2 linked regions of the Pelodiscus sinensis genome follow. The protein of the gene in region 1 binds, or shares a complex with, the protein of each later gene. Links are inferred from orthologs where the notes say so. Each region holds a gene or a part of one and is shown in the gene's direction. Other genes may lie near its edges.

Region 1 (10,437 bases):
GTTAATGAAATGTTCTATCAGATTTGGCTGTACTGCATTACTGTCCTAGATGAAGAAATCCTCAAACTATGAATGAGGAACACGCTGTCTTCTGCATTTTATCTAATTCAGAGAGAATTTTTTTCCATTTCTAATCACAGGCATAGAGGAAGACAAGATGCTCAGACAAAGACAAAGACAAAGCATCTATTTCAAAGCAGCAATTACATGCATCCTGCTACCTTGTGCACTAGCCTTCATTGTGTTTGTCATATTTGAAGTTCCCATTCCAGTAAGTATGCTGAGCACCACAGCCCCTTATGACAATTTGCAAAGGATATTTTATCGACAGTTAAATATCATTTAAGTTTTTCCATTGTTATAATAAAACATGCGAGGATCTGAGTTTAAGGGCCTTTGGATCCAGTGATACAAAGTTCAGTTCTATGAGCTCATGCCTTTAAAAGAATTGCTAATTTCTGTGATCCACTGGAGTAACCACTCTCTAGTGAAAGGGTCTATGACCTAAAATGGCATAATTGGAACTCTGCCAAAACAAGCAATTCCTCACACTTAATATGAATTCCTACCATGACATGTTTTGCCTGTTGCTAATAGAGTACAGGCAGTCCCCGGGTTACATGGATCCGACTTACATCGGATCCCTACTTACAAACGGGGTGAGGCAACCCCGCACTAGCTGCTTCCCCTCAGCAGACCAGGGAGACGCGAAGCTAGCGCTCCCCCCCAGCAGACTAGGGAGACACGGAGCGGCTTTTCTCAGCAGACACCTCAGCTTGAGAATAAAGGATTGAGGGAAATGTGGTGTGGGAGAATAAAACTGAGCTCTGGAGAAATGTTTGGCTAGAGTTTCCCCTACAATATGTACCCGTTCCGACTTACATACAAATTCAACTTAAGAACAAACCTACAGTCCCTATCTTGTACGTAACCCAGGGACTGCCTGTATACAATCCCTGAGCACAGTTGCAACCTTGAGATTTCATATGAGATGCAATCAGACACACAGGTTATTCAGGCTCTCTTTTGGATTGTGGGAAATTTAGGCTTATCTGTTGGACTGACTCATTGCTCTCCAAACCTGCACAGACACAAACAGCACTGTGGGGGTGTTGCATTTAAATCAAAATAGGAAGGAAACAATTTTATAATCTTCTGTCACAGTTTTGCAGTGACATCACTCAAAAGGAACACTTTTGACTCCAGGAGAGGAATAGTTAAGTATTTTCTAAAGGTAGAAGAGGAGAAAACAGAAAAGACTTGCAAGAAAAGGCAGGTTAACGTGGACTCTCTGTTGTTTTGTAGGCCCTAGATTTAATTATTCAAAGATCCCCCGCAAGAGGGCATATGCCATGCTGCAGATGTCTGGGGCAAAAGCCACATTGTTTCATGCTTTTACACTCTGAAGTGCATTCTTGTCAAAATTCAGATTAGTCTTTCTAGAAACAAATCATCATTATGCTAGCTTCAAATTCTTGGTGTTTTGGTCTGTCAACGTCTTTCCTACCAACCTTCTAATGGCTTCTGTTTCTTTTCTGAGCGTCCATGCCTTCGTTGGAGCCGGCGATGCAACTGTATTCAGAAATGTAAACGGCAAGAAAGAGAAAGCACAGACATCCCAAATTCTGTATCATCTTAAGGACGTGTCATGGTGGGTCACAAAAAGGGAACCACAGAGTTTTTTAAATGTAGTTCAGTAACAATTATTTCATTTAACAATACAGATCTCCTTCAACCCTTAGGCAAAGATCAGTTCACATTTAAAAAAAAAGAAGCTGTTATCCACTTGGTATGGCAGGGGAGGGAGGAGGGAGACTTCTAATGCTGTTCCCGCCCCCCAGCAAAATCTCTTACCTCTCATTGGCCAATCTCTCAGTTTTGGGCCAATATGAGCTGAGAATTTTTGTGGGAGCAGAGGCAGTGTAGGAAGCCTTCTCCCTTCCTCCTCATCCATCCTTCTTCCCCTTTCCCTTCCCTCTCATGCCCACAGCAGAGCCATGTGGAGCTGCAAGCAGCCTGCAGCTGTCAGTCTGCCTTAGGTTTCTGCTGGTAAATGCCTCCTAGCAGAGCCTGCCTCTGGCACCCTAGCCCCTCCCTTCTCCAACCCTCTGCCCCCCCCTACTCAAACCCTTTGCCCCTACTGTACCTATACCCCCTCCCAGATCTGGCACCCCAGTCTCCTGTCTCAGATCACAATCCCCTCCTAGCCTAGGTCACATCCCAAAATCCTGCATCCCAGTCCCGTCTTCTTCACCCAAACTCCCTCTGAGACCCCATTCTCCCTGCTGCACCCCAATCCCGTATCCAAAGCTCCCTTCTGTACTCAACCTCCATCCCAGACCCCTCACCTCCTCCATTAATATTCTGGAAAAGTATGGCCTTCAATCACATTCCAAAAATCTTGGAATGGTCCCCCGTCAAAAATTATTGACCACCCCTGTTGTATGTTCACAGATGAATGGCTGAAGGCAACATTTGAAGCCTGCAAAAGAGAACACACTTCATTTCAAAATCTTGTGTAAATAATTAAATGCCAAAGATCTGCAAAAAATGAATAAAAGTGGCCTTCTAGCCTAATTGCGAAAAGAACACTTCCTCTAAGCAATCTAGATTCTGTCTTTCTAAATCAGCATCACCCATCCTCCATGGGGACATACAAAATTTCAGACAAAATTAACATCACAATAGGCATAAAAACATGTCACATTTGAATAGCGACAATAACTTTTTTTTAGGAAGTTTTGGTTGTTTGGAAGAGGCAATTGCTACTAGCTACAATACCAATCTTACAGAAAATAGGTGGACACCTCTGCAGAGCTTACTGCATGACCAGAACATAACAATATATTTGAAAGCATGAAATATTATTTAGAATAATCAGTGCATACATATGTGTATATAAAAATCTGTACAAATTTGCCTTAATCTCCGCGAGACCTTCGGACATCAGATGCAGTCATAATAAATAAAAATGTATTTGACTGACCCAGAAGAGCGATGCTGCAGTAAACACGCCCAAAGTGATCCTGGTGTTACGCCACTAGAATATTACTGTGCTACAGGGGATAAATTATGAAATTTCTGGCACATGTGTAACCATATTCTACAGGGAGTCTCAGCTGTGTCATTTCTAAATCCCAGGTCTTTCTGCAAAACAAGATTCACTGACTCCATTCAAATCCCTCTCAGTGCCCCCAATAGCCCCCTCCACAACACAGATAACATAGTTGTCAAGTGAGTACAAGATGACCAGAATGTAACAAACACAGCATTAGGAAGCAGTCAGGGAAAGATCACAAAGGCTCTAGACTGCAGATGGATGGGAACGGTGCAGGGAGGAACCTGGGAATTCATCAATTTAGGAAGCTTATTTATGGACTACTACAGAAAGTGGAGATTAAACTCCTCCATTGTATATTTCCACTGAATTTAGCAGTGTCACACCATGAAAGATTTTGTTCCAGAGAACAGAGGTTAGTCATAAATGTATTTGTATTATACAAACTGTATTATATAACTAGGAAAATGAACTATAAATGCATTGAAAAACATTTGGGAAAGTTCTGGAACTGACAGGAGTTTTATTATACATGATGTGGAATTTCCAAATTCCAAAAGGAATCAGTTTCAAACAGCAAATGCAATAAATTGTGCTGAGCAGAGAGCAGGACTAGAACTACTCACAATCTCTATTTCTCATCTTCATCTCAAACCTTTGGATCACTGCCTGCCACCTACATATCCACCTTCATGTCATCCTTATATCCTGTCTCATTCCTCACTCTTCTTCCTAGCCTATTCTCACTCTCCATCATGCACCTTCTTCTGTACCAAGACTCATAACTGTCATCCATGTCACCTTACTAGATCACTTATGAAAAGTCCTGGCAGAGTCTATCATGAAGGGGTGATGTACTGGTGTTTAGCATATTTGCAGGAACTGTGTGTTATTTTCAGCTAAACGGATAATAGAATGACTATTACCAATGGAAAACAGACGCCAGTCCATGGAAAACATTAATTACTTGTTATTCCACTGACACAAAGATACACAGGTTTTGGAAAGGATCATTGTTTTTTGGTTTGGAAGATTTCATTAAAACAAACATTTTCTTCTTACCAAAGTTTATGGGCTATCCTCTCCCCCTTTTGATATCTGAGCATCCATATCATTCTTTCTAGCACACATACTGCTTTGTGCATTCCTCTGACCCTTACAGCAACATAACATTCTGCAGAGATTAATGCTGCCTGTAATACGTAAGCCTTTATGATTTAGGGAAAAACCTCCCAAATGTTATTTAATCCAGCTCTATCTTCTAAAGTCTGTGATATACTTGCTCTCAGATATGTAAACTCATATTACTAGGAAGTCAAAAGGTGACAATATAAGTATCAGCTTACTTAATTAAGAGCCCTGTCTACATGAGAACTACATCAATGTAATTACATGGATGCAAACCCCTGCTGTAAGTGGTTATCATCAAGTTCCATTCATTACAATGGAAACAGGAGACTCATGTATGGTCATTTATGCTACAAATATAGACAGTTAAGTAAAGTGGTTGCAACAAAGCAGTACACAGATTCTAACCCAGATTCAAAATTGTGCCAACATGTAGTACAGATAGGATCTCATCCCTATTTTATAACATGGCTAAATAATGGCCATGTGTCACGTGTCTGCTGTTTTTACAGATTATTCCTCAGATAGATGTACTAGGAAGTAAAATTAGAGCTGAGAACCAGGCCAAACTAATTTATCTGCCAGACAGAATTAAGAGTAATTTAGTTGAGTGAATGCAGAATAAAAATTAAATAAAGGGCAAGCATTTAAATGTTTCACTTGTAACATGGATGTGACAAAGTGGGGGTTCCATTCGCTCTGTCCGCTTTATGTTGCATGTGATTTCTGTTGTCCTGCACTGTAGTAACTTTGTGTGTGGATCTGTTTCCCTGGGCATAGCACCAGTGCCAAATTGGAGATGGGAATTTTGGGTGTGACTCTCACTGAGGGGAGGCTGACCAGGCTAGCACGGTCACAATGGCCCAGGTTCACTGTAAGGTGAGCCTGGAAGGGAGATGCAAACAGGTGACACCTTAAGCTCAGGAAGCTGAACAAAGGAAGAAGTGGGGCTGCCTATAAAGCTGGGTCGGGCTGCGGAGTGAGTTAGTCTCCGCTGGCTTAAGATACAGAGGGAGGGCCCTGGCTCCAGGCCCCCCTTTTCCTCAAGGTGGATTGTACTGTCTGCTTTTGGTTCCTGTACTAACAAATATGTTTTACCTTGTATCCCTGAGAACTAATGAACCTTCTGTTCTACCTGCTGCCTGAGAGTCACACCTGGCTGCAGATGTGTGCAGGGACCCCCATGTTGCAAAAATAAATATAAACAATAGCCTTCAAATTAATATAAATTGAAGCTCTCCTGCCAATGAAGAGACCCAAGTAAATCTGAACTCTTTATGTATTGCCAAGGCTGCAGCACAGAGGGGGAGGGAGACTGGCCAGACCCCAGTTTCATTATTTAACAGTGCTAGCAAGGAGGAAACTATTTACCCATAATTATTATTCTGCAGCTTTGCAGGAACTACACGTTGCCAAAGTCCAGAGACGAACCTTGGTGCCTGCAGATGGTTTTCAGGCATACTTCTAAACACAGCCTAAAGGGTGCCTTGGTTTTACAAACAAAACAAAACAAAAAAGCAAAACAAACAAATCTTCACCACAATCAATGATGTCAAACTCCACAAGCCCCGTGCTGCCAACGGGGCGACTCCAACCCCACCACTCCTCCCCCCCCCCCACGGTGCGACCCCCAACCCCACCGCTCCTCCCCCCCCCCACGATGCGACCCCCAACCCCACCGCTCCTCCCCCCCCCACGATGCGACCCCCAACCCCACCGCTCCTCCCCCCCCACAGTGCAACCCCCAACCCCACCGCTCCTCCCCCCCCACAGTGCAACCCCCAACCCCACCGCTCCTCCCCCCCCACAGTACAACCCCCAACCCCACTGCTCCTCCCCCCCTCCTCTCGCAGTACGACCCCCCAACCCCACCGTTCCTCCCCCCCCAGTTCTCGCCTCACAGAGTGCGACCCCCAACCCCACCGCTCCTCCCCCCCTCCTCTCGCAGTACGACCCCCCAACCCCATCGCTCCTCCTCCCCCACGGTGCGACCCCCCCCAACTCCAGCCTCCCGCGGTGCGACCCCGCTGCCCCTTTTCACCGTTGCGAGCCCAACCCCGCCCCCTCTCACGCCAGCCCTCCCCTCACAGCCTCCGTGCCGAGGTCGACCCGCCCCCGGCTGCAGTGCCACACGCCACCGGCGACGTGACCCAAACGCGCGGCGTGAGGGCACGAGCCTCACACACCCCCCCCCCCGCCCGCCTCGTGAGCGCGCACGTACGCGTGCCCAGCCGCGCCGAGCCTGAGCACGTGGGGACGGCCGCTGGGACTGGAGCGGAGTCGGGCTCGGGGCCTGAGCGAAGCCGGCGTGAGGTGACGGGCTGGGGGCAAAGCGGGCCGCGAGCCCGGGAGAGACCATGCGGCGGCGGGGCGGGGTGGGAGGGGGTGAGAAGTAGGAAGATACCAAGTGAAGCGGAGAGGGGGGTGCGAGCTTAGGCAGGCGGTGGCTGCGCGCTCCCAGCCACCTCAGATGCGCGCTCTGGCGGGAGCGCGGCGCCTCCCCTGCTGTTCCGTTAGGGGGCACTGGGGTAAACCGCCGCCGCGTGGACTTCAGGGGCGGGGCTTGCTGGGGTGGGCGGGGCTTGGGCGGGGGAGGGGCGGGTCCCACAGGGAAGGGGGAGGGCAGTAGGGTCCCTACTGGTTCCTGGAGGAGGGGTTGGGAACAGTGGTCCCAGTAAGCCCGGGGTGGGGAACTTTTTTTTTGGGGGGGGGGGGGGGCACAGACCCATCAAAACATCAGTTGGGGGCCACACACAAAAGAGAAGCACAAAAAAACCCTCTTAGTGTCCTGGCCCCCTGAGGAGAAAAAAAACCCTCCCAGATGTAGCCCCCCCCCTCAGAATCAGGGGGAAAAAACTCCCCTCAAGCTTCAGCCCCATGGGGAGGCCCTAGGGCCAAATTAACTCCTCCAGAGCCTGGGGCTACTAGGGTTTGTTTGGCAGGGCCAAAAAGGAGGGGTTCAGTGTGCAGGAGGGGGCTGCCAGGAGCGGGCTGGGGGTAGGAGTTCGGGTTGTGGGCAGGAGGTAGGGTGCAGGTGTGGACTGGGGTTGAGGGAGTAGGGTCTGCAAGGGTGGAAGATGCAGGAGGAGGATGAAGATGCAGAGTCTGGAGGGGGGGTCTGGAAGAGAGGGGGTGCGTGGGGAGGGTCAGAAGAAGGAAATAAAGGTGATATGATGCACACGATCAGGAAGAACTCTCCCAGCATAAGAGGCAGCATGAAAGAAGTCTTGCAGGCTTAGTCATCTCAGTGAGCCACAAGATTGTTGTAACCAAGACGATTTCGTGGGGTAGGGTAGTTTTGCTAACTGTGCTTCCCTATCTAGCATTTGCAGGGGCGCCGATTGAACTGTAGCAGCATTTCGATCGGAGGCAGAGGACATGCACGACTGTCACAGTCAATGTAGTGTGCACTCTAGAGATGTTAAATTGCGGTTAATTGACTAGTCGAGTGGTTGATGGAATTTCCATCGACTACTCGATAGGCACTTCTGCATTCCTCCTTTGAAATGCACAAGAGCCCTGTTGGGGTTTTTGTGCATTTCAAAGGAGGAATGCAGAACTCCGCCTGCAGCCGGGGCCAGTGGGAAGTCCCACTGACTCTGGGCTCCACACTGGCGTGTCTGCTTTGAAATGTACAAGAGTCCGCAGCAGGGACTCTTGTGCATTTCAAAGCCATGGAGCCCAGGGTCAGCGTGGGACTCTCCAGCTGACCTCAGGTTCCATGCAGAATTACAGTGGAACCCAGATCAGCTGGGGAGTCCCCAGCTGACCCCGGGCTCCTTGGCAGCTGCCCCTTTGAAATGCCAGAGGTGGTGTTTTAAAGGGGCAGCCCCCTTTGAAATGCCTCCTTGGAGTACCTCTTCTTTGAAGTACCCCTTCTCCCCCCCCCTTTACTGACTCTGATAGAGGCAGCAAAGCAGGAGGAATTGACTAGTTGACTGACTATCTGATAAGCATTTGCTTATCGGAAGGTCGACTAGTCTTTAACATCCCTAGTGCAATCAGCGCTCACATCATTCCATGTGTCCTTGCTTTACAACAGGGATGGTGAACCTAAGGCCCAGGGGCCAAATGCAGTCCCCCAGCTTGCCTAGATCTGGCCCCCAGGGGCTCGGGGCTCCTCCCCTCCCCCATTGGGAAGACTGCACTGGCATTCCAGACCCCCACTGCCTCCCACCTGACTGATTTTTATGTGGGTCAGCAGCCCCCGCCCCAAAAAGGTTCTCCACCCTTGCTTTACAAGCATGCCACTTTAGTAATATGCGGATTGAACCCAGCAGAATCTGGCAACCCTGTGCAAGGGCAATAATAAACTAAATGTCTCGTGGGCCACACAAGAACCCTGAAGGGGAGCATGCAGCCTACTACTGTTCTAGACGAAAGTAGTGTTTCTCAGGGAGTGATCTGTGGTGCTGGCTCCCTGAGATCTCCCTGACACAGTTTAGGAAGGCAGAGGCCAGGTATCAAAAAGATTAAGAAACACTGGACTAGAGTACACTCTTTGTCTTTCCTATGCTTGCATATAGTTGAAAGGGTCTTTATCCCATACCTAATTTTAGTAGCTGTTTATTCTAGCATACATATCTATTGCAGTCCTCCATTTAGTTTTTTGTTTGTTTGTTACTACTGCTACATTTTAAATGTTTCACAAGAGTGAAATTTATATTATTAAAGCAGTGGTCCCCAACCTTTAGAGGCTCCCAGCCCCGGGGGCGGGGCAACTCACGCGCCGGGCGCCCGGGGGCAGGACCGCGCGTCCGGGAGCACGCCAGGCGACTGGGATGCCCTTGCACCCGGCACCGGCATGTGCTCTAGGGCCGGGGCTGGGGCCGCCCGAGCCGCGCGCCTGGGGCTGGCACCGGCGCCGCTCGAGCGCCGCGTGCCCAAGCGCCTGCATATGCCCCGGGGCTGGGGCCGCCCGAGTGCCGCGAACCCGGTGCCGGTGCATGTCGAGCGCCTGGGGCCGGCGCCACCCGTGCGCCGCGGGCGGGGCTGGCCCAGGTTGTCGGCGGGCGCACACAAATGCCCCGGTGGGCATCATGGCGCCCACGGGCACCGTGTTGGGGACCACTGTATTAAAGGATCTTGGGTGGGAATCAATTTTGATTAAAATAGATTCAAGTAACAAGTTTCTAACAAAATTCTATCTTACTTTGGGGAGGTCTGAGTTTTACTGCTGTCCTGCTTCCTGCTGGAAACTTTGCTGTAGTCTTTGGATCACATTTCAGATCTGCATCAGGACTCTGGGCTCTGCTCTGAGGTTTATAACTGGTTTGCTCTGTGATCTTGAGCAAGTTACTTCTCCTCCTTGTTCTTAGTTTCCTTATCAATAAATTGGAGCTGCTACTTACCTCTCTAAAATAATTCCTTGTGGGTGCACCATTTAATGTTTGTAAAGCACTTGGATCCTTGAATTAAATTACTTATTTTCTTTTTTGACAGGAATATAGTTGCCCTGGGACTGTTGCATGAGAAGGGGAGAATATACAGCCAGCCAACTCACAACTCTCAAAAGCAGTTATCGGTTCTATAAAGTCCACTATCTTAGCTGTGATGAGCATGTTCCTAAAGGAAACTTTCCCTACTCCATGAAGGACATTTCTGTTCTCAATTCTCAGGGCTGCAGTGACCCTTTTATTAATCAAATTAAGCAGTAAGGAAGAGTCCAAATCTGCCTCTGACAAATATATAAAATCATAAAGGCACAGCTCATGGTTCTGCAGAGCTAATGAAGAACATCTTGTAACAAAGTTTTCAAGATTCATGATGATACAGTTACTTGACAATCACCACTTTTTTGGGGGTCACATCAATCTTTTATTCAGATAAGTTATGATCCTGGAGTTCCAGATTTCTTAATACTATGAATTGTGTCTTTCGGTTTTTGGTTTCGTGTCTCAACTGCAGAGAACAGACTTTCAGTCATGTCAAATGGTCCCTGTTGCATTATGACCGCTCATTTGCATGAGTAGTTGGTGTAGTCTCAGAAGAGCTTATCTGTTCAAAGGGTTGCACAACAGCCTACTCTCTTTCAGTTGGATGGTACCTTGATAGATACATTGGTAATTGTTGATCTTATACTGAGGAGCCTTGTACAAGGAGAGGTGCTTATATTGCTGTCCTGAAGAAGAACACCAGAGTGTGAGGAGGATGGAGCGCCTGGCCTCCTTCAGCAGTAAGTACCATAACCAGAACTTCACAGAGAGGTCTAAAAACCTCTGTCCTAGGTATGTCTCCACTTTCTGAAAGAT
Region 2 (10,197 bases), on another chromosome or scaffold:
CAGCTCTGGCAGCACTCCACAGCATGGAAAAGCCCTGTCGCTTTGGCAGCAGCCTTAGGACTGGTAGGGGGGGTTTGTTAATATTCAGCAGAAGGATTCCAAGTATCTCAGGGCACATGCGTCTCATTGGCTTTGATGCAGATCTAGCCGGCACAGTAACTCCTCACGCACATGCACAGAATGATGCAGCAAAGTCGAGGGCAGGATCTGCAAGGCTATGTCTACACTGGCAGGTTCTTGCTCAAGAATGGTCGTTCTTGCGCAAGAACCTGCAGAGCGTCCACACTGCCCGTCCGCTCTTGTGCAAGAAGGTTTACAGTACGGTGTCGGAAGACAGGGCTTCTTGCGCAAGAGCTATGCTCTTTTCTAACAAGTGTAAGCCCTCTTGCGCAAGAGGGCAGTGTGGACGCGCAGCAGGAGCGTCTTGCACAAGAAAGCCCTATGGCTAAAACGGCCCTCAGAGCTTTTTCACGCAAGAGAGCATCCACACTGCCATGGATGCTCTTGCGCAAAAGCACATGGCAGTGTGGACATGTTCTTGCACAAGAATCCTTGTGCAAGATGTTCTTGCGCAAGAACCTGCCAGTGTAGACATAGCCCAAGTGACTTCGTGTGTGAGCAACTCTTTTCAAGTTCAGTACCAAGGCCCCTTTGTGGTGTTTGAAAACCCATCCCAATCCCAAGTCTACCTACCTTGTTTGTTTTCACTGAAACAGTCACCTTCCCTGCAGCATTGTGATCGTGTTAAACCTTTCACCCTCTTGGGCTGTGTCTACACTGGCCGCGAGTATTTGCACAAGAACACTGACTTTGTAATGTACAAAATCAGTGCTTCTTGTGCAAATAGTCCAACGCTCCCGCTCAGGGATAAGCCCACTTGCACAAGTATTCTTGCGCAAGAGGGCCAGTGTAGACAGCCACGTTAATTTCTTGCGCAAGAAAGCCCGATGGCTAAAATGGCCATCGGAGCTTTCTTGCACAAGAGAGCGTCTACACTGGCACAGATGCTTTTGCGCAAAAGCAAATCTTTTGTGCAATGGCACATGCCAGTACAGACGCTCTCTTGCGCAAATACTTTTAACAGAAAAACTTTTCCGTTAAAAGTATTTGTGCAAAATCATGCCAGTCTAGATGCGGCCTTGGCGTCAGAAAGCAGACCACTGGGGATGTGCAGTAAGGCCCTGATTTATCTTCCATTGAAATCAACAAAAGACACCCACTGACTACAGTGCTTCAGTTTTGCAGCTCCCCAGGTTTTGGGGATGCTGTTCCAGAGGCCTCATGGTGCATCAGCTTCACTGGGGGGTCACAGTACCTGAGGAACTGGGGGTCACTGGGGTCACAGTAGCTGGATCTCCCCAGATAGCAATTGACTGATTCCAAATAAAAACCCCACTCATCTAACTGCCCAGCTCCAGTCCTTCTGGAAGACGAATGGGCCATATCCTTGGCTGATGGAAATCAGCATTGCTCAGTGGAGCTTCACACCAGTGGAGTATCTGCTGTGAATGGCCTACGAGGAGAGGCTGAGGGATTTGGGCTTATTTAGTAGCAGAAGAGAAGAGTGAGGGGGGATTTGATAGCAGCCTTCAACTCCCTGAAGGGAGTTTCTAAAGAGGCTGGAGAGTGTTCTCAGTGGTGACAGAACAAGGAGCAATGGTCTCAAGTTACAGTGAGGGAGGTCTAGGTTAGATATTAGGAGAAACCTAGGAGCATGGTGAAGTACCGGAATGGGTTCCCTAGGGAGGGGGTGGAATCTCCATCCCTAGAGGTTTTTAAGTCCCGGCTTGACAAAGCCCTGGCTGGGATGATTTAGTTGGGGTTGGTCCTGCTTTGGGCAGGGAGCTTTGGGCAGAGGGCTGGTCTCTTCCAGTCCTAGGATTCTATGATTAATTAAGCGTTAGGTTTTTTTCTATCTTCTCCTCCCCTGTGACGGGTTGCATCCAGTTCTGTTTTCCAGTGAGTTTTTGCCTTTTACCCTACTATGCTATTTGTCACAGACACAAATGGCTTCCTGTGGGCAAGCCATGAAGTTCTGATGGGATTAATCTATGGGCTTTTCATTGTATGGTACATGGCTGTTCATTCATTAATCTTTTCAATACTCCTGGGAGGAAGCTAGGAATCATTATTCCCATTTTACGTGTGGGGAAAACGAGTCACGAGGAGGCAAAGTGAATTTCCCACAGTCACTCACAGGTAGCAATGGGTTTAGAACTCAGCTGCTCCTCTCTTCTGTCTTCATTCCTCTGGCCTAACATTGCCTCTCAAAGAAATCACAAACCTCCCAATGCCTAGACCTTTACTTGGCCTCTTAACCAGCTGAGCCTCCGTTACTTCCCCCAAGGAAGACAGAAAGGCGAGAGGCAGCAGCCAGCTTACAGCTCCTCCCTCTTGGCTACAAAATGTGCTGGGCTTCAGGATCCATGCGCTTGGTTACAATGACTTTCTTCCTAGCGCTCCTGCTCAAAGCCTGTGGACGTGGGTTACTGTAGGCAGTGTAATCATTTTCCCCTAACATCTGTGCAATAAAAATTATTTGCACCAGCAGGGAAAATACTGTCTATGGCTACGTCTAGACTGGCATGATTTTCCACAAATGCTTTTAACAGAAAAGTTTTCCATTAAAAGCATTTGCGGAAAAGAGCATCTAGATTGGCACGAACACTTTTCAGCAAAAGCACTTTTCGCGATCGGGGCTTTTTTGTGCAAAACAAATCTCAACTGTCTACACTGGCCCTTTTGCACAAAGCTTTTGCGCAAAAGGACTTTTGCCCGAATGGGAGCAACATAGTATTTCCGCAAGAAACACTGATTTCTTACATGATTGTCAGTATTCTTGCGGAAATTCAAGCGGCCAGTGTAGACAGCTGGCAAGTTTGCAGAAAAGCTTGCCAATCTAGACACAGCCTATGAGTATTTTAAAAGGAAAAAAAAAACAGTTTTTGTCCAAAATTAAAGTTTTTGTTTCAGCCACATTTTTTCAGGTTTTTATCAAAAACCTGAACATTTTTTGTATTTTTCAGTTTCGGGGAGTTCTTCCTTTCTTTTTTTCTTAGTGAAAAAGGGGAGAATTAAGGGAAAGACAGAGAGGAAATAACAAAAAACAGAACAATGAACGTTTTTGAAGACTGAAAAACTATTCAGTTTTTTCAGTCCTCTCTCCCTCCCTTCACTCCCCCCAAAAAATAAACAAATTGAAAATTGCAAGGATATAATGCTGTCTCCACTGAAGTCAATGGCAAAAATCCCATTGACAATCATGGCAAAAATTTGTAAACAATGTCAAAGAACCAAGTACCCAGAGAATTTCACAATGTGAATGTTTTGCAAGCAGAGCAAATCTAGTATTTCCTGGGAAATGTTTATGCATTTCTAACACAAACTTCCCTTTTCCAAACAATGCATTGACAGGAGCCTTCAGCATCATTATCCGGAGTGCACAGTTGCTCATAGCAGGATGTTTCTACTGGGTTACTTTTCTGAGTGCAGTCCCTCAGCACACAAGATTAGCGCTTGTCCTGTCATTTGAAAGTTCTGCCGTTTAAACTATGTAGACTTTAACATTTTTAAGATTCATATTTAAAAGATAAAAATCTTCATAGAATCTATCCATCCATCCCTGTACACCCCCTTAGCTATCTGTCCCCATAACAATCTTTATCTATCTAATCCTCATATTTATATACCTTTTATTTATCAAATAATGACACAAACAGTGCATGTGGCTACATAGTGGCTGTGTCTACACTGGCCACTTATTCCGGAAAAGTGGCTGCTTTTCCGGAATAACTTGCCAGCTGTCTACACTGGCCCCTTGCTTTTCCGGAAAAGCACTGATGATCTACTGTAAAATCATCAGTGCTTTTCCGGAAAAACTATGCTGCTCCCGTTCGGGCAAAAGTCCTTTTCCGGAAAACTGTTCTGCGAAAATGACGATCGGGGCTTTTTTGTGGAAAAGCGCATCTACATTGGCACGGACGCTTTTCCGGAAAAAGTGCTTTTCCGGAAAAGCATCCTGCCAATGTAGACGCGCTTTTTCCGGAAATACTTATAACGGAAAACTTCCGTTTTAAGCATTTCCGGAAAAGGATGCCGGTGTAGACGTAGCCACACAGTATGGAAACAGTGAACAAATGCATTAAACATAGTACTGTGCCCAGCAAGAGATCTGCATTTAATCTGCACTGGGAGGCAAGCTGAACCCCTGATCAGCCCTAATCAAGGAAGACAAGAATAATCCAAGCCCCCAGAGGAATTATTTCAGCAGCATCTTTGGATAACCCATTAGACCCCCTCTCTTTGATTCAGATGCTGTGCCAGTCAAAAGATCATTTCCTGGGAGTGTTTTGCAGATGGCAGCAAAATTATGGGAGTGGGACAGCTGTTTTTTACCCTTGATAGGGGAAAATCTGAAAGGGACTAAACTCAGACAGGGAAACCAACTTTAATTTCACTCTGCTAAATGGCCCTCTGTTAAAATAACTGCATGTATCTAATAACAAATCCTCCTCCCCCCTCCCCAAGTAATGCTTCAATAAAATTGAATTGCAGGAATGGATAAATAATGCCTCCGTCAGCATTTAGCAAACAGCAATGCCACGCACAAAAAAAACAGAGCAGGGAAGGAAACATACAGACATTCTGATCTAGGTAGTTAATTATCTAAAGCAAAGAAATGCCATAGGATGAATGTACTTCCTGTCTGGAAAATCACAACAGGTTTTAAAGCAAAGGGGACAACTATATTTTTATTTGAAGTAAAAATAGTTTCTGAACTAGGAACGTAGTCACTACCTTTTACTAAGTATTTCAAATATGTGTCTCCCACGCACGCGCGAAAGTTCGTGGAAAGGGCAAAAATGAAAAGCGGGTATAGCCGAGCGAGAATTTAAAGAGGCTTTTGTGAAATACAGGGTTCCCGACAATACCTTCCCTTACAAACTACTCACATATATTAGCGAGCAGACCCCAAAGAAATAGCAAAAGCAGAAAAGATCGCTCCCGCAGTACGCACAACAGACAAACTAACTCTAATTTTAACAGACAACTTCGGGGCGCCGGAACCAACGATTACCAGCAGCCCCAGGAACAAAAATTGTGCTTCCGAAATCTCTTGATGTCGATTCCGCACGAAGTAAGGAAAGCCGCAGCCACCCCACTCCATGTGTCATACATGACAGAAGCCCTTTTTAACGAGTCGCTGGCGGCTCCGCCTCCCCAGTCTGTGTGTCAGACTTGAAAGTTACAGGGAGATGCTGGTTCGGCTCCCCTGAGGGACCGTGACATTATATCGCACAAGCACCCCGTTTAGGCCCGCCACGTCTCTTGCATGTATGTTACTGTGCGTCACTCATTAATCCTTAAAATACGCGCACCACAGCAGGCATGAGATGCAAATAAGCCGCATGGCATGTTGGGATTTCACCATAGATGACGCAGAGAGGAGCCGGAGGAGGGGCGGGGCCGGAGTGAGGGGGAGGAGGAGTCTTGCTGCAGCTCAAGACAAGGTAAAAAGCTTCCGCCAAACCCCAGGTGAGGGGCATGAAGGAGAAACTGGAGGGCTGGAAAAGGGAACACTTTAAAGGGGGCACCTGGATTTGAACCAGGGACCACTTGATCTGCAGTCAAATGCTCTCCCACTGAGCTATACTCCCCCACCCTGAGAAAGCCTGCTCACCCAGATGTAAGGGTGTGGAGCTGGGGAACAGCCTGCTGCGTGGCTCTATCTGTAGCACTTTTCTTTGGCTGCCCTCAGCCTCTCCCTTGCTCTGGGTCTTTTCCCCATTGCTCTATTCACTGGCTCTATTCACTGGCTCGCTCCTTTTTCCTTCCCTCCACTCCCTCTCTGGCGCCCTTCTTCACAGTCAGTGCCCTAGTTGGGGAGGGGGGGGGGACCACACGGCCCTGCACGGCTCTCCCCGCCCCCCCCCCCACCTTTCTGCCAACCGTCTCCCAGCGCCGACCCCCTCCCCATCCGAACTGAAACCGAATTGAGACCAGGTCTGACCGTACCTCGGGCCCCTCCCTTCACACCTCAGGCGGGGCAGCCGCAGACTAGGACCCCCGGGGCCAGGCGCTCCACATGGATCATGTCCCGGCTCCCTGCGGGGCCCACTGGCTGCTACCGGCCCCGCCCGGCCGTGGGGACCGCGCTGAATCGCGGTGGGGGAGCCTCGCTGTTTGGGGGAGGGGGCTGCCCGAGGTCACATGGGGAGGCTGAAGGGTTGCCATAGGAACACGCCAGCGGCTGTGGGGCATGCGCAGTCTATGACGGGAAACTGGCGCCGGTGCCCTCTCGGGATGTCGGAGGTCACGCACGCGCCTTCTGGGCTGGATTTGCTCGGAGTGCGCATGTGTCGTTTCCTGTCCCGCTGTGCCGGGGAGGCGCTGGTTGGCCGCGGCGGTGAGTGTTTCCGGGCGGCACCGGAAGGACGCTCCCGCAGGCGGCGAGTGGCGCAGAGCCGGCAGCAGCGCTGTAGCAGCGGCGGTTGAGGCGGGGGGGGTCCGCCCGCGGAACATGGGGCGATAGCAGGGGGGCACCGGTGAGTGCGGGCCCGTCCCTCGGCGGGGGACGAGGCTGCTCGCGGGGTTAAGGGCTCCCCCCCGCCCCGCGCCGGGGCAGGAGGCTCAGGGCTGCCCGCGCTCCCGGAGGCAGGGGTAGCGGTTGGGCCGTCACCAGATAGGCCTCTGTAGAAGAGGCAGCGGCGGGGGTGGGCAGGTGGGAGCCGTGGTGCCCCGCGTGTAACTGCGGAAATGTTTTCAGCCGCTACAGTTACTTACACGCATTTTAACATCCCTAGAGTCAGCCAATCCTGCCACCACACTTCATGTACACGAACCTGCAAGGTACCTCTCCTGGGAGATCCACCACTTCCAAAGAGGTCCTCTGACAAAACAAGGGATGTTCAAACGTCTGAGATTTTTCTAAATTAAAAAGCTGTAAAGAAAACTTTCAGTCTGTCTTTTTACGTGATTAAAGAAGCCAAAACAAATACTTTAAAAGATCCTTTGCAGATTACTTTTAAATTCTGTGTAGAGATTTCTTTGCTAAATATCTTTTCTTCCTGGAATTAGAAGCTGCAAGCACTCTGATGAACGATTCCTCAAGTTGTCTTGTTGCTGTAGATAAGTAATGTTGCATTTAGCATATTGGTGTGATAATGCTATTTAGTCAGTTGCAGTACCTATTAGTCAGGGACCAGTGGCATTAGTACATGCCATGGGGCCTAGTCCTGATGTGAAGGAAGGCTACTGTTTCAAAAATCTGTACTCAGCTGCTCTCTACTCCAATACCCACTAGCCCTGTATCTAAAAATGAAGATTTGACATAAGTATAAGCTTCTCCCTTGAGGATCCTGAGAATAACTTGCCATTTGAGAAGACAAGAAATATTAGGTTCACGATTGCTGTTTAAAGTAAAGCTTTGTATTCAATGCCCAGAAAATTGCATTTGATCATTTTAATAAGGACAAAAGATGCTTGTGTTGTGGTGAGTACTGTTTGCTGAAATTTGTTTCATTTTGATTTGCATTTGATAAGGTAGGTGACATGCAAAATAGCTGGTGTCATGAGAATGAGAAGTATGTAGAACAGGAGGAGGGAAGTCAAGGTTAACACTGGCTATTTGCTTACAGGGAGCTTTTGGAAAATGGCCTCTCCATTCGCTGGGCCCACAGCAGTTGCTGATGTAATTAAAGAACTAGATACTCAGATAGCTGTAAGTAAATTGCTTGAGCTTGCCATGAATTGGCATGTAGAACTTGAGGTTAAAACCTGTGCATCCACATTTGCTTTGTTTTCTGATGCCTTGATTATACCCAAAGGTTAAAATTAGAAGTGAGAGTAAACATTACTCTGCATTAATATAGTGCTTTTTGCCCAAGGATTTCAAAGCATTTCACGCATCATCTTCTGATGCCTCCATGGTAGGTAAGATTTCCTACTTTGTGGTTTTGTAAACTGAAGTGCACAGGGTTAAGTGACTGGCCCAAGATCATCAGCAAGCTAGTGGCAAAAGTAAGAATAGTACACTGGAGTCCTCTCTTCTGCTTCTTGAGCTATGCTCCAGAAAACAGGACCTCGCTCCAGAGTTGCCAACTAAGAGCTTACAGGGCTCTGTATGACTGAAGAACATCCCAAGGCATGAATGTAGAGACTTTTCATCATTTTCAGATCTGTTCACATTGGGCTAAAATTGCTATCAGAGCTACGTGAAGTTACTTGCATTTATATTTCTTTTTAAAAAGAAAAATGTATGTAATATGTTTGCAGCAGTGCATGACTTTGAGCATTGGAATGAAACACTAAATATCCACTGTCTTAAGCATTCTTGTGTGATTATTTTTCAAGAGTGACTTTTCTGTGTGAATTATTACAAACTAACAAAAAATCAAATGCTGTTATAGGGGAAAATCACGTTTTCTACAAAAAAGTAGAAAATATTATTTCCCTTGGTTTTTATGTAAATGTTCTGTGTGTTTTTTTTTTTCCTGGTACCTGTAGCTAGTTTTCAGCTTGCATCATTTGTGTCACTGTGAACAAAGAAATTTCCAAAGAGTGCTGTTTTGTAGAAAAGTTTAAGGAAAACTGCAGTAAAGAGTATTTGAGACCCCAAAATCTAATTATGGAAAATAAATTGCTTAAAACAAAAGTCAGAAATACAAAAATTGTCATAACATCCATTTTATGTTCCAAAACAGAAAATGCAGTTGTCTCAATTATGTAGGCAATAAGATTTTTCAGAGTTAATACAGACTGTTATTAAAGTTTCCACTTAAATCATTTCACAGCTTAATGTATGTGATTTAAAATAGTGAGATGCATTTTCTATGTAACAACCTACTTTTTGGTTTGAAGTAGTAGCAAAATTTCAGCTACCATTGACAACTCCATTCATTGAACTGAGATAGAATGATGAAAGACTTGTAAAAGCATGTGAAACCTCTTAATTCAAGCAATTTAATAAATATTTGTATATTCTAATCACTGCAGTTTTCCTTGACCATTTTGGGTGATAATTGAAGAACACAGGTTTGAAGAGAGCAGTGCTAAAGGTTGAACCTCTGTAGGCTGGCACTCTGGTACAACAACATCCATGGTCTAACATGATTTTAGTTAGCCGAATGTCCACTTATGGGTGTGGACAAGTTTCCCACAATTCATACTTTTTTTTTTTTTTTACAGCCACCAGTCCTGGCTGTCAGTGTTCTATGCTGTTGTTTAGCTCTAATTTACCCCCAAATATCTTCTAAGAGCCCAGTAACCAGTGGAAGTGTTGGTAATGCTGCTAGACAATATTGATCTCCCATGGTTTGGCAAATTCTCTGGTTTGGCACTGGTCAGGTCCAGAGGGTGCTGGACTAGAGAGGTTCAACATGTATTATGGAGTTGTGGGCCACAGATTTGACTACAAGAAAGTCCAAAGTGGTGGGTTAAGGGTAAGTAGTATGCTAGTAGTCTGAGCCTAATTACTAATCTAGGTTGCCAGTTCTAATTCAGTCCAAAAGTAATCAAAGTGTCTAGTGGCCTATGACATGAGTTAGTCCAAGAACCTTATTGCTAATCTGGAAAGAGCAGGCTGTTAGGTATATGAAATTAGTAAATCCAGGCCTTTGCTTGACAGTCTACCAAATTCCATATTGTGCAGCTGAAAACCTGAATTGAAATGAGGAATCAGATATATAAATCAAAGGAATTTGAGGCAGAGGTGGATTTTCTACTGTCCTGTCACTTTTGGAGGCCTGACTTAATGCTGACAAGGTCTATAGGTGAAATTGAATTTCAGGGCTTAGGCCAATCTTCAATATATTCTCATTACAAACTGTCATACTACTGGAAATATCTTGGTTTGGGAATAATTACTGGTGAGACTTGAAATGCCTTGTTGGTGTTGTGTGGCAAATGCTAGAACAGTGCCTTCCTGTTCTGTACCTGGCTGTAGACAGTGCAGCTACATGAGGAATTGTACTCCGCTTTTCCCTCTTCCCAAGATGTCTGAAATGTAAAAATGCAGTCTTTGTATTATTAGGACCTACATACTCCAGTTCTAGACCAGGTCCCTTTGTGCTAGGCACTGTACAAACACAGAACAAAAAGACCGTTCCTAAGCTAGACCTCAGGAGGTGATGTCATTGATCTGCCAGTTAGAAGTAAGTGTGGAGGCCTAACGCTGCCACCAAAGAGGCACAAGTAAGA

The links. Proteins that work in one complex are often made in the same cells at the same time.
Region 2: TADA2A (region 1) and TAF12 share a complex: the UniProt entries of both Homo sapiens proteins name them as parts of the PCAF complex. The link is inferred for Pelodiscus sinensis from reciprocal best matches to the Homo sapiens genes TADA2A and TAF12.

What each region holds. Positions count from the first base shown.
Region 1 is NC_134731.1:8,815,000-8,825,436, forward strand, and holds the start of TADA2A (transcriptional adapter 2-alpha), read left to right. Parts: upstream 1-6,343; 5' UTR 6,344-6,499; intron 6,500-9,628; 5' UTR 9,629-10,336; coding exon 10,337-10,361; intron 10,362-10,437. Other genes in the region: C21H17orf78 (uncharacterized protein C17orf78 homolog), read left to right, coding at 141-271, 1,541-1,639. UniProt on the Homo sapiens protein: Component of the ATAC complex, a complex with histone acetyltransferase activity on histones H3 and H4. Required for the function of some acidic activation domains, which activate transcription from a distant site. Binds double-stranded DNA.
Region 2 is NC_134735.1:13,924,221-13,934,417, forward strand, and holds the start of TAF12 (transcription initiation factor TFIID subunit 12), read left to right. Parts: upstream 1-6,430; 5' UTR 6,431-6,545; intron 6,546-7,637; 5' UTR 7,638-7,651; coding exon 7,652-7,720; intron 7,721-10,197. UniProt on the Homo sapiens protein: The TFIID basal transcription factor complex plays a major role in the initiation of RNA polymerase II (Pol II)-dependent transcription.